3 linked regions of the Zea mays genome follow. The protein of the gene in region 1 binds, or shares a complex with, the protein of each later gene. Links are inferred from orthologs where the notes say so. Each region holds a gene or a part of one and is shown in the gene's direction. Other genes may lie near its edges. The genes, in order: SWR1 complex subunit 2, Actin-related protein 4 and Actin-related protein 6.

The links.
Region 2: SWR1 complex subunit 2 (region 1) and Actin-related protein 4 share a complex: the UniProt entries of both Arabidopsis thaliana proteins name them as parts of the SWR1 chromatin-remodeling complex. The link is inferred for Zea mays from reciprocal best matches to the Arabidopsis thaliana genes SWC2 and ARP4.
Region 3: SWR1 complex subunit 2 (region 1) and Actin-related protein 6 share a complex: the UniProt entries of both Arabidopsis thaliana proteins name them as parts of the SWR1 chromatin-remodeling complex. The link is inferred for Zea mays from reciprocal best matches to the Arabidopsis thaliana genes SWC2 and ARP6.

Annotation. Positions count from the first base shown.
Region 1 is NC_050101.1:6,995,914-7,000,537, forward strand, and holds the start of SWR1 complex subunit 2, read left to right. Parts: upstream 1-1,665; 5' UTR 1,666-1,734; coding exon 1,735-1,802; intron 1,803-1,885; coding exon 1,886-1,955; intron 1,956-2,167; coding exon 2,168-2,239; intron 2,240-2,403; coding exon 2,404-2,447; intron 2,448-2,544; coding exon 2,545-2,803; intron 2,804-2,978; coding exon 2,979-3,054; intron 3,055-3,154; coding exon 3,155-3,274; intron 3,275-3,378; coding exon 3,379-3,447; intron 3,448-3,590; coding exon 3,591-3,633; intron 3,634-4,106; coding exon 4,107-4,172; intron 4,173-4,325; coding exon 4,326-4,521; 3' UTR 4,522-4,624. UniProt on the Arabidopsis thaliana protein: Component of the SWR1 complex which mediates the ATP-dependent exchange of histone H2A for the H2A variant H2A.F/Z leading to transcriptional regulation of selected genes (e.g. FLC) by chromatin remodeling.
Region 2 is NC_050096.1:2,967,368-2,971,297, reverse strand, and holds the end of Actin-related protein 4, read left to right. Parts: intron 1-2,478; coding exon 2,479-2,543; intron 2,544-2,625; coding exon 2,626-2,694; intron 2,695-2,778; coding exon 2,779-2,824; 3' UTR 2,825-3,156; downstream 3,157-3,930. Other genes in the region: peptidoglycan-binding LysM domain-containing protein, read right to left, coding at 3,548-3,930. UniProt on the Arabidopsis thaliana protein: Involved in several developmental processes including organization of plant organs, flowering time, anther development, flower senescence and fertility, probably by regulating the chromatin structure.
Region 3 is NC_050105.1:40,330,385-40,334,785, reverse strand, and holds the start of Actin-related protein 6, read left to right. Parts: upstream 1-1,274; 5' UTR 1,275-1,691; coding exon 1,692-2,398; intron 2,399-3,114; coding exon 3,115-3,307; intron 3,308-3,381; coding exon 3,382-3,445; intron 3,446-3,987; coding exon 3,988-4,072; intron 4,073-4,159; coding exon 4,160-4,210; intron 4,211-4,329; coding exon 4,330-4,392; intron 4,393-4,401. UniProt on the Arabidopsis thaliana protein: Component of the SWR1 complex which mediates the ATP-dependent exchange of histone H2A for the H2A variant H2A.F/Z leading to transcriptional regulation of selected genes (e.g. FLC) by chromatin remodeling. Binds to the promoter region of FLC chromatin.

The DNA of each region.
Region 1 (4,624 bases):
GAGCCAGAATGCGCCATGCCGAGCAGACGGTCGACGTCGTCACACCACTGCTTCATGGCCCCCGGTGAGGCCGTGGAGCTAGGAGGGTGGCACAACAACTCCCTGGCAGCAGACAAGCCCCCAGGCGCAGCCCTTGACGCTCTAGATGTCTGCACAGGAGTGTCTTGCCGTGCAGAGCGCACAACAGCAGCACCAGGCGCAGGGCGGTTGGAGGCCCGTGGCATGGAAGACGTAGCCTCTTCCTCCATCGGGAAGTCCTCGGGAATGAAGTCGTGGTGCTCGATGATCTGAACCATGGTGTCGAGCAAGAACACAAGCGAAAAACCTAAAGCCTAACCCCCTACCTGGCGCGCCAAATGTCGGAGAGGAAATTCTCCGGTCGGGTGGCGGAACGCACCCGCCCTAAATCCTAAGTTGAGGAGGGGCCTAAGCGTTTTGCCTGTCTATTGGAAGGTGGAAGAACACACGAGGCACGAGAGTTTAGAGTGGTTTGGGCCGCCGTAGCGTAATACCCTACTCTACTGTCTGTGTGTTGTATTGAGTCTGTGAGCTTGAGAGCTTGTGTGAACTCGAGTGAACTTGTGAGTCGGTCTGAGAGTCTGAGTGAACCTGCCTTGTAACGTTGTGTGACTTCCCATTTATAGCTCAAGGGAGACACATACAAGGATACTGAGCCCCGACATGTGGGCCCAGGAGCAAAATGGAAGGAATACACTATGCAAGTCTGTGGAATGGACATGCCGCTGCCTGCCAGGGGAATGGATAGGTCTCAATAAATGCTGAGGCGGCACATCGCCTGCCAGAGGAATGTACATGTCTCAATAAATGCTGAGGCGGCACATCGCCTGCCAGAGGAATGGACATGCCTCTGCCTGTCAGCGGAATAGACAGGTCTCAATTAATGCAGAGGCGGTACACCGCCTGCCAGTGGAATGGACAGGCGGCGCGCCTTATCCTCATTAAATGCAGAGGCCGCGTAACCCAGAAGCCTTACGTCAGGCTCCGCTCGTCGGCTTACGTCACGTGCAGTAGGCCACGCGGCAGCATCGGGTCCCCGCCTGGGCGGGGAGCAGAAGCGTATACGATAAGGTCTGGACACGTGTCGGCTCCGGACCCCCGCCTGGCCTTGATTAAGGCCTGAGTATTTTCTGTCCCAGAACCCCGGGACCCTGCTGTGAGCGGCCCGGACCCCACACAGAGGGGTCCGGATCCCAGCCTAGGGGTCCGGTTTGCACCCGTGGAGGTCCTAGACCTTACCCGGAGGCTCGGTCTGCATATACAGGGGTTCGATACTTTCCCATGGGGTCCAGACTTACTGTTGACACCTTGGGATACATCATCTTCTCTGACCACGTGGCGGCCCCGGAGCCGTCCACGTGGTGGGGTCGGGTGCTGTTGCTGGCCCAGAGTAGTTACTCGAAGCTGGGGTGAGTCACGGCCTGGCCCCACACACAGCTCCTTTACCACGCGACCAAAGATAGCTGCGTGGGTGCTGTGTCTTCATACAGTAGTAGGGGTAGGGTACCGACAAGATCTAAACAAGCACTACACCTATGTATTTTTTTATAAATAAAATTTGAATATTTTGTAGAACTGAACCTGCCCACGCGACTGACCAAAGTTAATAACCGGGCCGGATGGGCCGGCCCACCGTCGCTGCTAGCTCATTCATTTCTTCTTTCCCTGCCGGGCCCCGGCGGCCTCTCCTCTCCTCGCTTGTCCCCACCAGGCGCCATGGACGCTGGCGACGACGAACCCCCCGTTCTCCTCGACCGCGCCGCCCGCGCCTCCCGAGGCAAGAGGTCAGGCTTCCTCCCGGCGCCGATTCTTGTTCTCTCCCGGTGGCTTGCTCCTGTTTGAGATCGAAATCATTCCTCTTTTTCAGGATAACCAAGCTGCTCGAGGACGAGGTCGAGCAGGACGAGGCTTTCTGGAACCAAGAAGCCCTCAAGGATGTAGGTTGCAGTCGGTCCCCACTCGTTCTTTTCTTTCCCTCCTCTTGGCAGAAACGGATTAGTGCCGCTCCCGCAGCTACTGGGGGATTGATTAGCTTTAGGGTTCTTCTCATTTCTGACTTGCAGTTTCGCGAGTTCCTCCTACCATGTACACACAAACCCTTGTAGCGTGCTGCACTTGTCGTCCCTGACGCGTTGTCATCTCCTCGCAGGAGGAGAACGATGACAACTACGTGGAAGAGCCGGATGCTGGTGACGAATTCGACAGTGATTTTGGTGAAGATGTGAGTTCCTTCCATTCTCCCCCTCCGCATCTCCTGTTTGTCCATTATATCCGTGTTGTGTTCCTAGAGCTGCCATTAGTGTACACATCCTTTCCCATCCTTTCTAGTTTAGCATCTCACCGAGTATTCGAGTGCCTTATGCCAACATCTCTGTACCTACACAGGAATCTGAAACTGATGATGAGCCGGAGAAGGAAGTACGCGAGAGGTAAACATATTCCTTGCTGTTAACCATGCTGGTAGATTTCATCATGTGAACGTTTGTTACTAATTCCCCTCCCATGCCCGTCTCAACTATCAAATAGATTACCTATCAAGAAACGGCTAATGTTTCCTGGCAAGACGCTGAGGAAGACCAACGTCAAGAAGAAGAAGGCGACCCCAAAACCAGAAGATGGCACAAAAGCCGACAAGTCTGCTGATAAGCCGAGTTCATCCACACAAGCAGATCTTCCTGATGAACTGGAGGCTGAGAAGGCCATCCGGAAATCAACCAGAACGTCGGTCATCGTGAGGCAAGCTGAAAGAGAAGCGATACGTGCTGAAAAAGAAGCAACGGCCAAGGTATGTACCAGATGTTGCAAGTTCTCCACCGCTGTTATCAGACGTTGTAATTCCATTGAGCATTTGAGATACTTGTGTAGGACATAATGTTGTGCTACTTGGATTAGTTCGTCTGCTGTGGCATTTTTTGGAATTTGTGTTGGCTTACTTGTTACTCTCTGCTGTACCTTGCCAGCCGATTAAGAGAAAAAAGGAGGGAGAAGAAAAGCGGATGACACAAGAGGAGATGCTTTTGGAAGCAGCTGAAACAGGTTTAGACAATGTTTCACTTGTACCGTTATCCAGAAATACACAGATGGAGTTTGCCAGCATGCCTTTTACATTTTATTCGTTTGTTGTCTATGTTTCTAGAGATCATGAACATGAGAAATCTAGAACGTGTCCTGGCAAGAGAGGAGGAAGTGAAGAAAAAAGCTGTTGTTCATAAGGACACTTATGAGGGTCCTACAATTCGTTTTTTCTCAAGAGATGGTAATTTCTTTATTGGATTATCATCACTCACTTGTTTGCATATGAATTCTGAATTTAGAAAATCAGGAGTTCCTTACTTGATCATCAGTATTGTGCTCAATTAGGGGAATCACGTCTGGAATTCATAAATGGAGCATCATTTGGGTCTGAACTTTGTACAACATCATCTCCTTGTAAGTGCCACAGTTTTGTTCGTACTCTATTATCTGTTCTTTGTTGCTAGCAGTTCCTTTAAAATGTGTGTGTGCTGAGAAGTTCTGATTCAGTTTGCTTTGCTAAGTCTAGTTCTTTTGGAAAATATTTCTGTTTATTACAGATCCGGAGAAACCTGTTTGTGTGGTGACAGGACTTCCAGCCAAGTATGGTTTTCTGACCCCTGTTTATGATATCCCTTCCTGTTCCTTGCATTCACACACGAGTTTCAACCCCTCCCCCCTGTTTTGTTGTTCATATATGTTTCATTTTAATACAAGTAATAGATTAGATAGACACGAATCCTTCAATGTTTAGTAGCTGCATTATCTTTGACTGTGGTTTTTATATGTTCTGGATCACTCAGATCGTACCACTACCAGTGTGTGTATGGTCTGGAAACCCCGAGACATCTTGTGGCTTTAATTCTTAGATATTTTACCACGAACCATGGAAACAAGTTCAAGTGTGCCTACCTGACGGTTGCTCTTTGTTTAGAAATCTGAAATGCTATGGCAGAAATAAACCTGAGGCAGGACTACATATGCCTACATAACCAATTTAATTAGTATAATAAATAAGCAGTTTACACTAGACTCTTGAGGGACGTTTATGCTTATGTGAGGCTTGCTTCCTGTAGATACCGTGATCCGAAGACAGGGCTGCCTTATGCAACTATGGAAGCATTTAAAATAATCCGGGAGAGGTACATTTTGTTTGTTCTCATAGATTCCTACTTTGCTCTGACAGCTAAGTCGTAAACCACTTGCCTGCAATGTTTCTTAAGAAAAATACTGCTTTCTATCTGGATGCGCAATCAAAACTTGCTAACATCTCTTCAACTGATCCATGCATTCAGTTTCCTGAAAGAGGAGGCTGATAGAAAGCGTCCGAACATGTCGAATATGGGAGAGCTTTTCGAATCAATAACTGGTGGACACTTGATGCCTAAGAAGAGAAGGGTTGAGATAAGGTCTCCGAACATGTTAGGAGGCTCTAGGCATGGCGGGCGTACCTGGCGAATACCTGCTTTTGATATGGTGGACGAGGACTAACGAGACAGATCCCGTGGCTCCCAATATGTCGAATATGAGAGATCTTTCTAAATCAATAGCCGGTGAAGAGGAAGATGGATAGGATGTTGTATTTAGTGTTAGA
Region 2 (3,930 bases), on another chromosome or scaffold:
GAACGTCCTCTCCGACACCAGCTCGTGTCGAGCACGACCCAGTGGAGCTCGTGACCCCTCTGTCCCGCGACGAGGAGCGCGTCGACGCGTGCTACGACGGCGAGCCGTTGCGGTATCGAAGGGTGGAGGGCCTTCTCATCGACCCATCGGTGCCAGGCCCTGCATCTCGCATTCTGGCAGGAGAGTTGCATCTTGCATGCGACGATGGTGAGCCTCGGTCTTTCGCGGAGGCCGAGAAACATGCGGCTTGGCGTGCCGCGATGCAGTCGGAGATGGACGCGGTTGAGACGAACCGCACTTGGGAGCTCGCTGATCTCCCTCATGGTCATCGCGCGATCACCCTTAAGTGGGTGTTCAAACTGAAGAGGGATGAAGCCGGCGCCATCGTCAAGCATAAGGCTCGCTTGGTGGCACGCGGTTTCTTGCAGCAGGAGGGGATCGACTTCGACGATGCCTTCGCCCCTGTAGCACGGATGGAATCCGTGCGACTCCTCGCGTTGGCAGCCCTGAAGGGCTGGCATGTTCATCACATGGATGTCAAGTCGGCGTTTCTTAACGGCGACTTAAAGGAGGAGGTCTACGTACACCAGCCGCCAGGTTTTGCGATCCCTGGCAAGGAGGGCAAGGTGTTGCGTCTGCGCAAGGCTCTCTACGGCTTGCGACAGGCACCAAGGGCGTGGAATGCCAAGCTGGATTCCACGCTCAAGAGGATGGGCTTCATGCCAAGCCCGCACGAGGCGGCCATCTATCGGCGGGGCAATGGAGGAAGTGCCCTGCTGGTGGGTGTCTACGTCGACGACTTGGTGATCACCGGCGCCAAGGATGCAGAGGTGGCAGCGTTCAAGGAAGAGATGAAGGCCACCTTCCAAATGAGTGACCTGGGGCATCTCTCCTTCTATCTGGGGATTGAGGTGCACCAGGGAGACTCCGGGATCACACTTCGCCAGACCGCCTACGCCAAGCGCATTGTTGAGCTGGCTGGGCTCACCGACTGCAACCCAGCCCTCACTCCGATGGAGGAGAGGCTGAAGCTGAGTCGCGACAGCACGACGGAGGAGGTGGATGCTACACAGTACCGGCGTCTTGTGGGGAGCCTTCGCTACCTCGTCCACACACGGCCTGACTTGGCATACTCCGTCGGCTACGTTAGTCGGTTTCTGCAGCGACCGACGACGGAGCATGAGCAGGCTGTGAAGAGGATCATCCGCTATGTTGCGGGGACTCTCGACCACGGTCTCTACTACCCGAGGTGCCCTGGGGAGGCACACCTTGTCGGGTACAGCGATAGCGACCACGCCGGCGACATCGACACCAGCAAGAGCACAAGCGGGATCCTCTTCTTCCTCGGCAAGTGCCCCATCAGCTGGCAGTCAGTCAAGCAGCAGGTGGTGGCCATGTCCAGCTGCGAGGCCGAGTACATAGCGGCGTCCACTGCTTCGACTCAGGCGCTCTGGCTGGCTCGCCTGCTCGGTGATCTCCTCGGGAGAGACACTGGAGCGGTGGAACTCAGGGTGGACAGCCAGTCCGCTCTGGCATTGGCCAAGAACCCCGTGTTCCATGAACGGAGCAAGCACATCCGGCTGAGATATCACTTCATCCGAGACTGCTTGGCAGAAGGGAGCGTCAAGGCGCGTTACATCAACACCAAGGATCAGCTTGCAGACCTGCTCACCAAGCCCCTTGGGAAGATCAAGTTTGTTGAGCTTTGCTCCAGGTCCGGGATGGCCCAACTTTCCCACAAGACGACGCACAAGACTTAGGGGGAGAATGATGGAATAAGTCATGTGGTCAGCAGCAGTTGCAGTTTTGACTGCTGCAGGACAGCAGTAGCAGCAGTCTTTTGACTGCGCAGCAGCAGCAACCTTTTGACTGCTGCAGGACAGCAGCAGTTACAGCAGGACAGCATGCAGCTGCAGTTTTTTGACTGCGCAGGACAGCAGTAGCAGCACAGCAGTTTTGACTGCACTTTAGTATCTAAAGGACAGCACCTGTGTGCTGCAGCGTGTAGTGTAGTGTGTAGTGCAGTGTAGTGCAGCCCCTAGGGCTATAAATATGTGTCCCCAACCCCTCTAAGGGTATGACATTGTGTAGTGTTTGAAGAAATAAACAGAAAATTGCCCCAACTCATAGTGTCATCCTCTGATGAGAGTTAGAGTCCCTCTACTTACATACCACAGATTCTTCCCACAGCCAGATTTTCAGAAAAGCTGGTCAGAAAAAAGCTGAACCAAACAGGCCATAAAAGGTGCTTTAAAATTCTCATTTCAATATAATTTAATAATTCCCACTATGAAACTATTACAAATGAAATGGTGGGAGTATTTTAGATTGTTTTGTACATATTTTCCGTATTTTGCGACCTTAGTTGATATTGATAACTATGAAACAATTCTCTTTGTTCATGTTGGTTAGAAATGGTGAAGTCGCTCTTTACTCATTTTTAATGCTAGCTATTATTACCACATTGAATTATTACAGGAGTCTCCTCAAGCTGCTCGTGTCAAGGTTATGGCAAGCGGAAACTCAGTAGAGAGACGTTTCAGGTCAGACTAGAATATTTATTTATTAGGTTATTGCTGGCACTTACAAATGACATGGCTGAATTGTTGGAGAATTGACATGCAGTGTTTGGATTGGAGGGAGCATTCTAGCATCTCTTGGGTCGTTCCAGCAGATGTGGTTCTCCAAAGCAGAGTAAGCTCGATATTTGATAGGCCCTCTGTTTTTTCTATACTTGCCCTGGACACCTGATGAGGCGTGCCATGTGTCTCGCGCCAGGTATGAAGAGCATGGGGTTTCCTATATTCAGAGAAAGTGCCCTTGAAGCAGGGGAAGGAATATGTACAACCAATATTATGCTTTACGAGCCTTATTGTTGCCAAAGGGTTCCTTGTGTACAACAGCCTGGTGCCTTGCCATGTTGGCCAATGAATACTCGAGACTCTTTTCAAGTGACGTTTGTTGTCTTCATGGCTAGTTAATTTTAGGTGATGTAAGGTGAACGTAAGAACTAGGTCAACTAAAATATTTATCATTGACAGTATGCTGAATCTGTCTCCCCTTCTGTAGAATGAGACGGGACCCCATCTTGTTCTGTACCGGGGCTAATTCTTTGCCAGCACACAAAGAGCCAAGACGATTGTTGTAACTCGGGTTATTTAAATCCCAGCTGCAGAGCAAATACACAACTTTAAACGTGTAGCGAGCAGGCAGAACAACGATGCCGCAATCATTCTGTCCGTAATGTCTGCAACCACGATTGCTAGTGCGGAGGGATGAACAAGCTATTTCTTTATTAGGTCATGGGAATGCTGCCAGGCGTTTGCCTTCATTCCTAGATGTGTACGTACAAAAATGAAAAGAATACACCCCCAGGCTCATCTCCCAGCTCCCAATCTGCTGCTGCTGCTGCTTTGGCACAATAGATTCAGCACAGTATGTATGTGCAAGTAATGTGTCACTGTATCCGTCACGCCATTTCAGCACAGTGTGTCCAACCGTTCGAGGCCTTTTTTTTTGTTGGCTGTAAAGAGACGAAACGAAGCTGCTAATCTCTGGCCGCCTTGTTTCTCCAAGCAACGATCGAGTTGGGGATGTTGTCGAGGAGAGGCTTGGGGATGCTGTCCAGGAGAGGCTTGGAGATGCCGTCGAACAGCGCCAGGGTGAAGGCATAATCCGGTTTCAGGTTCCACTTGCTCTTCAGCCACGCCGAGGCGAGGCTGACGCTGTCCGAATCCTGGAACTCCGGAGCGCTCGACGATCTCTTCACCGCGCGCAACCCGTCCCCGTACGAGGGCACCCACGCAGCCAACAGATCCTGCTGGATGCCGTTCGTGTCTGCCCGACCGCCAGACTTTGGCCTCAGGGCCAGCCCTTGCCCGGCTCTCCTCGGCAACAAGGTGCTCGATAAGCTTCCGGCTTTCCTGTGAT
Region 3 (4,401 bases), on another chromosome or scaffold:
ACAACACTATTACTAAACTAAGAATTTTTTTTGTTGATTTTATTAAGAAAGTTAAGTGGTCTTTCTTCTAATTATTATCTAAATCAGTTCTGCATTTGTTTTTTATAAAACTTACCAAACACTAATAAAATAATCTCCATTTTTTACACAAACCTTCTCCTATCTACACTAACATACACAAATATTTCCAGATTTTTCTGAGAATTTTAAATCTAGACCCATAAATATGTAAATATTTCTCAGAATTTTATATAGGTTTAGATTTAATGTTCTTAAAAAATCTGAAAATATTTGTATATATTAGTTTAGCTAAGAGATAATCTATGTAAAAAATGGAGATCATTTTTTATTGTTACTAGGTGTTTCTAAAAAACAAATGTAAAATTAATTTAATTATTAATTAGACGAAAGGACACCTATCTTTCTTAATAAAAGCAACACAAAATTTTGTAGTTTATGAATAGTATTGTTTAACTCTAGTAAAAGTTTTAGCTTAATAAGATAATAAATGAATCAGAGACAAAACTCTTAAGTTATTTTTGTGTAGTTTTTTTATTTTTAGTAATTAAATGGCTTCTAGAAATGTTATAGAAAATTACAGCTAACATAATATCTAATTATCGATTTGTGTAAAATTGTATAAAATTTTGATGGTAGTAGAAAAAACAGAATTAAAAAAAGACAAAATAGTTCCATTTAAACAAGTGTCATGTCATCATAACAGTTAACTAAAATTATTTGGAGGTTATTTGTCCGCTTTTATAAAGTTTAGGGCTAGTTTGGGAAAACCATTTTCTCAAGTGATTTTCATTTTATCAAGTGAAAATGAACTGATTTCTCTTGGGAAAATAAAATCTCTTGGGTAAATGGGGTTCTCAAACTAGCTCTTAGATGGTTAAACATCTGGTTTTAAAAGTGAGAGGGTGAAGTAGAGCATGCTCTGAAGGCTAGAGATTACGTATACTTTCTGAACGAAGAGGCGCCCGCTGTCGAGAGTCTAAGCAAACCCACCTGACTACTTCAGTACCTGACTACGAATCCAAATAGGCCTAGGTCTTTAAGCCCACCTGGCGTTCCTGTTCTTCATCCGGCGGAGCCGCGGAGGCCACAAGCGCCTGCTGGCCCACGAAAGTGCCCTAGTTCTTCTTCTTCATTCCTGTCGGCGGTGAAGGCCCATCTGTTTTGCTGGCCCACATCGTGCGGCAGCCCTGGCTGGTCTTCCGTCTTCCTCGAAACCCTGACGCGGCCGCCACGCCATGCTCGCCGCAAGTCCCCTGCGCCAAGTGCCGCCGCCGGGCATCCCATCCACCTCCCGTCCTACTCCCTGAAGGCATGAACCCCCGTTCCAAGCGCCCTATACCGCCGCCATCTCCCGTTCCCCTTTCCTTTGTTCTCTTTCGTCTGCTGGGCAAACCAACGCCGCCAGCCACTGGTCGATCACTTCCAGCCAAGGAGTGGCGGACGCGCAGGGCTTGGAGTGTGGCGGACAGGCGGATCCTGTAGCGGCAGAGACAGGTACGGACGAGAGAGGTGAGTTCTCCGCACGATCGGCTGGGACAGGGGAACGACGCGCGCAACTGTGTGGCCTGGGGGGGCATTAAACGCTTAAACGGCGATCAATCGTCGCTTAATCGATTGCTGTCGGGTACTCCTGGCACTCAGAAGAGGTTGAACTAAGATAGGGATATTCAATGACGGGTGGATCGGGTGTGGTGGTGATAGACAATGGGGGTGGTCTTCTCAAGGCTGGCTTTGGGGGGGACAATGATCCAATTGCTGTTGTCCCCAACTGTATGGCCAAACCCCCTGGTGGCAATGCCAGCTCGAAGAAATGGCTTGTGGCTGACCAGCTGCAGGCAGAAGATGTCGATGTGACTGGCATGACTTTGAAGCGTCCTATTGACCGTGGCTATCTTATCAATACCGAGGTGCAGAGGGATGTGTGGGAACGGGTTTTGCGCAATCTTCTCCAGGTTGATCCTACTAACTCGTCCTTGTTACTGGTGGAACCCATGTTTAACCCTCCAGCGATACAGCATGCAACTGATGAGCTAGTGTTCGAGGAGTTTGGCTTCAACTCGCTTTATGTTGCAGATGGTCCTTCCCTTGTCCACCTTTATGAGGCTAGCCGACAACCAATGATGTTTCGTGCCCAATGCAGCCTTGTTGTTGACTGTGGCTTCTCTTTCACCCATGCATCCCCTGTACTTCAGAACTTTACTCTTAATTATGGTGTTCGGCGTATGGACCTTGGCGGCAAGGCCCTTACAAACTATCTCAAGGAGCTCGTCTCATACCGTTCCCTTAATGTTATGGATGAAACTCTCCTCATTGATGATGCAAAGGAAAAGCTATGTTTTGTCTCGCTTGATGTCCCTGGTGATCTACACCTTGCCAGGTCAGCTGTCTTCATAACCTTTCATGTGCCAACCCTTCTTTTGTTTGTTTAGGGTTAATGTTTCATGTAAGTTCTGAATAAATTTAAAGGTTGGGCCATCTAGGAACATCTAGTGTTTGAACTTTGTCTGTTTAACCAATTTAAGTGCACACATTGATAACCTTTTTTGACAAACTGGATTTTGTAGCTTCCAGAACTAGAGGTGTTGTGCATGCACACATGTTTTTGTGGGAGCTGGTGAACTAGCATTTTGAGCTGAAACTTCACTATAGGCATTAGAAGGCTTGAAAGACCTTAGCATTTGAATTTTAAGAACACAAAACTTATCTTTGTCAAACAAACAAATAGATAACTAACCTAAGGACACTGGAATGTGTTTTTGGGACTATCCTATACTTGGGACTTTTGTTTTCTCATATTGTTGTTTATAGTGTCTTCGTAAAGCACCCTGAATTTACAATGCTAACTCCAGAATCCAGATGCCATTAATGTCGACGGATGCTAAGAGAATGTTATTAAGTACATGTTTCCTTTGCTTGAAAGTTGTTTAGAGGCATTTTCTTAAAATATATTGTGCTGTATTAGGGAAGAAAGAATGAGTTAAATGATGTAAAATCACATTCCTTTGAAATGGGGACCTACTAATGAGTTGACTAAACTATGGGATTTTATGCTACTCAAATCTCTTAGCAGCTTGCTGTGCAATTTCTGGGCAGGTTATCATTTAAGGATAACCCTTTTAGATGTTCTTATATTCTCCCTGATGGTATAACATACAAGAAAGGGTTTGTCAAGGATATGGATGAAGCACTTAGATATCGCACCCTGCCTCAAGTATCAGATAGCAAAGACCATGGTATGGATACAAATAAGTCCGAGGATCGGAAAAAGGCAGAATTAAGTCAAAATGTAACATCCTCGCCTCCTTGGTATTGGCTGCCATGTGGTATTATGATATCATTGATGAGATTTTAACTCTGTAGGAATTTGTCTTGACAAACGAGAGGTTCCTTGTCCCAGAGATGCTTTTTCATCCCATTGATCTTGGTTAGTGACAATGTTATGTCCTGTGTACTTTTGCTCATAAGATTTTGAATATATTCTCTCATATGTGCTCTCAAGTTATTGAACAGCATATCGGTCTCATGCTACTTTTCAGTGTATTTCCTAAAACCATTGCAAAGCACAATAATTATTTCTTCCCATCTGCACATGACCAACCACCAATTCATTTTCCTGATGGGGAGGATTTGCCCTTAACATTGGAATGCAAAACCATTGACATACCTAATCTCAATTACTAGTTTACTACTCGGATAATATCCCTTGCCAGTGACTCAAAAGTAGCAATTCAGTTGACCTTCATAACTTCATATGCATATTAATCACATCTTGGTGAATTTACATCAACTATTCTGTTTTTCCTTTAACATTGGTAAACAATAGAACAGAAGAGTTTCATTGTTTTGTCCATCTTTCTTCCGCACAGTAGTAATGTTAGTTTCATAACAATTGTACTCTGCTATGTTAGCACATTATCTAAGCTTCTCATTTGTTGCCATACTAATCTCTGCTGTGCATATTTGTAGGCATAAATCAAGCTGGGCTTGCTGAGTGTATAGTTCGTGCTGTACAAGCTTGCCATCCATATCTTCAACCTGTGCTTTTTGAGAGGTATCATTTCCATTTACATACATCTGCACCTGCATTGATCTTTGAACATGGTATGCATGTGAGTTCACATTGTTGGGATGTTTCCAGCATCATCTTGACAGGTGGAAGCACACTGTTCCCCAGATTCACCGAAAGATTGTAAGTTGTTTCTTTAGCATTATAGACAGTATATGCCTTTATTTTGTCATGAGTTGGATACACTTGTTATTTGGTTTCTTTTGAGGTAGTCACTGAGATTGCATAAACTGCATTGACAGGGAGAGGGAACTTCGGCCTCTTGTCCCTGACGACTACAAGGTTAAGATAACTCGTCAAGAGAAGTATGTCTC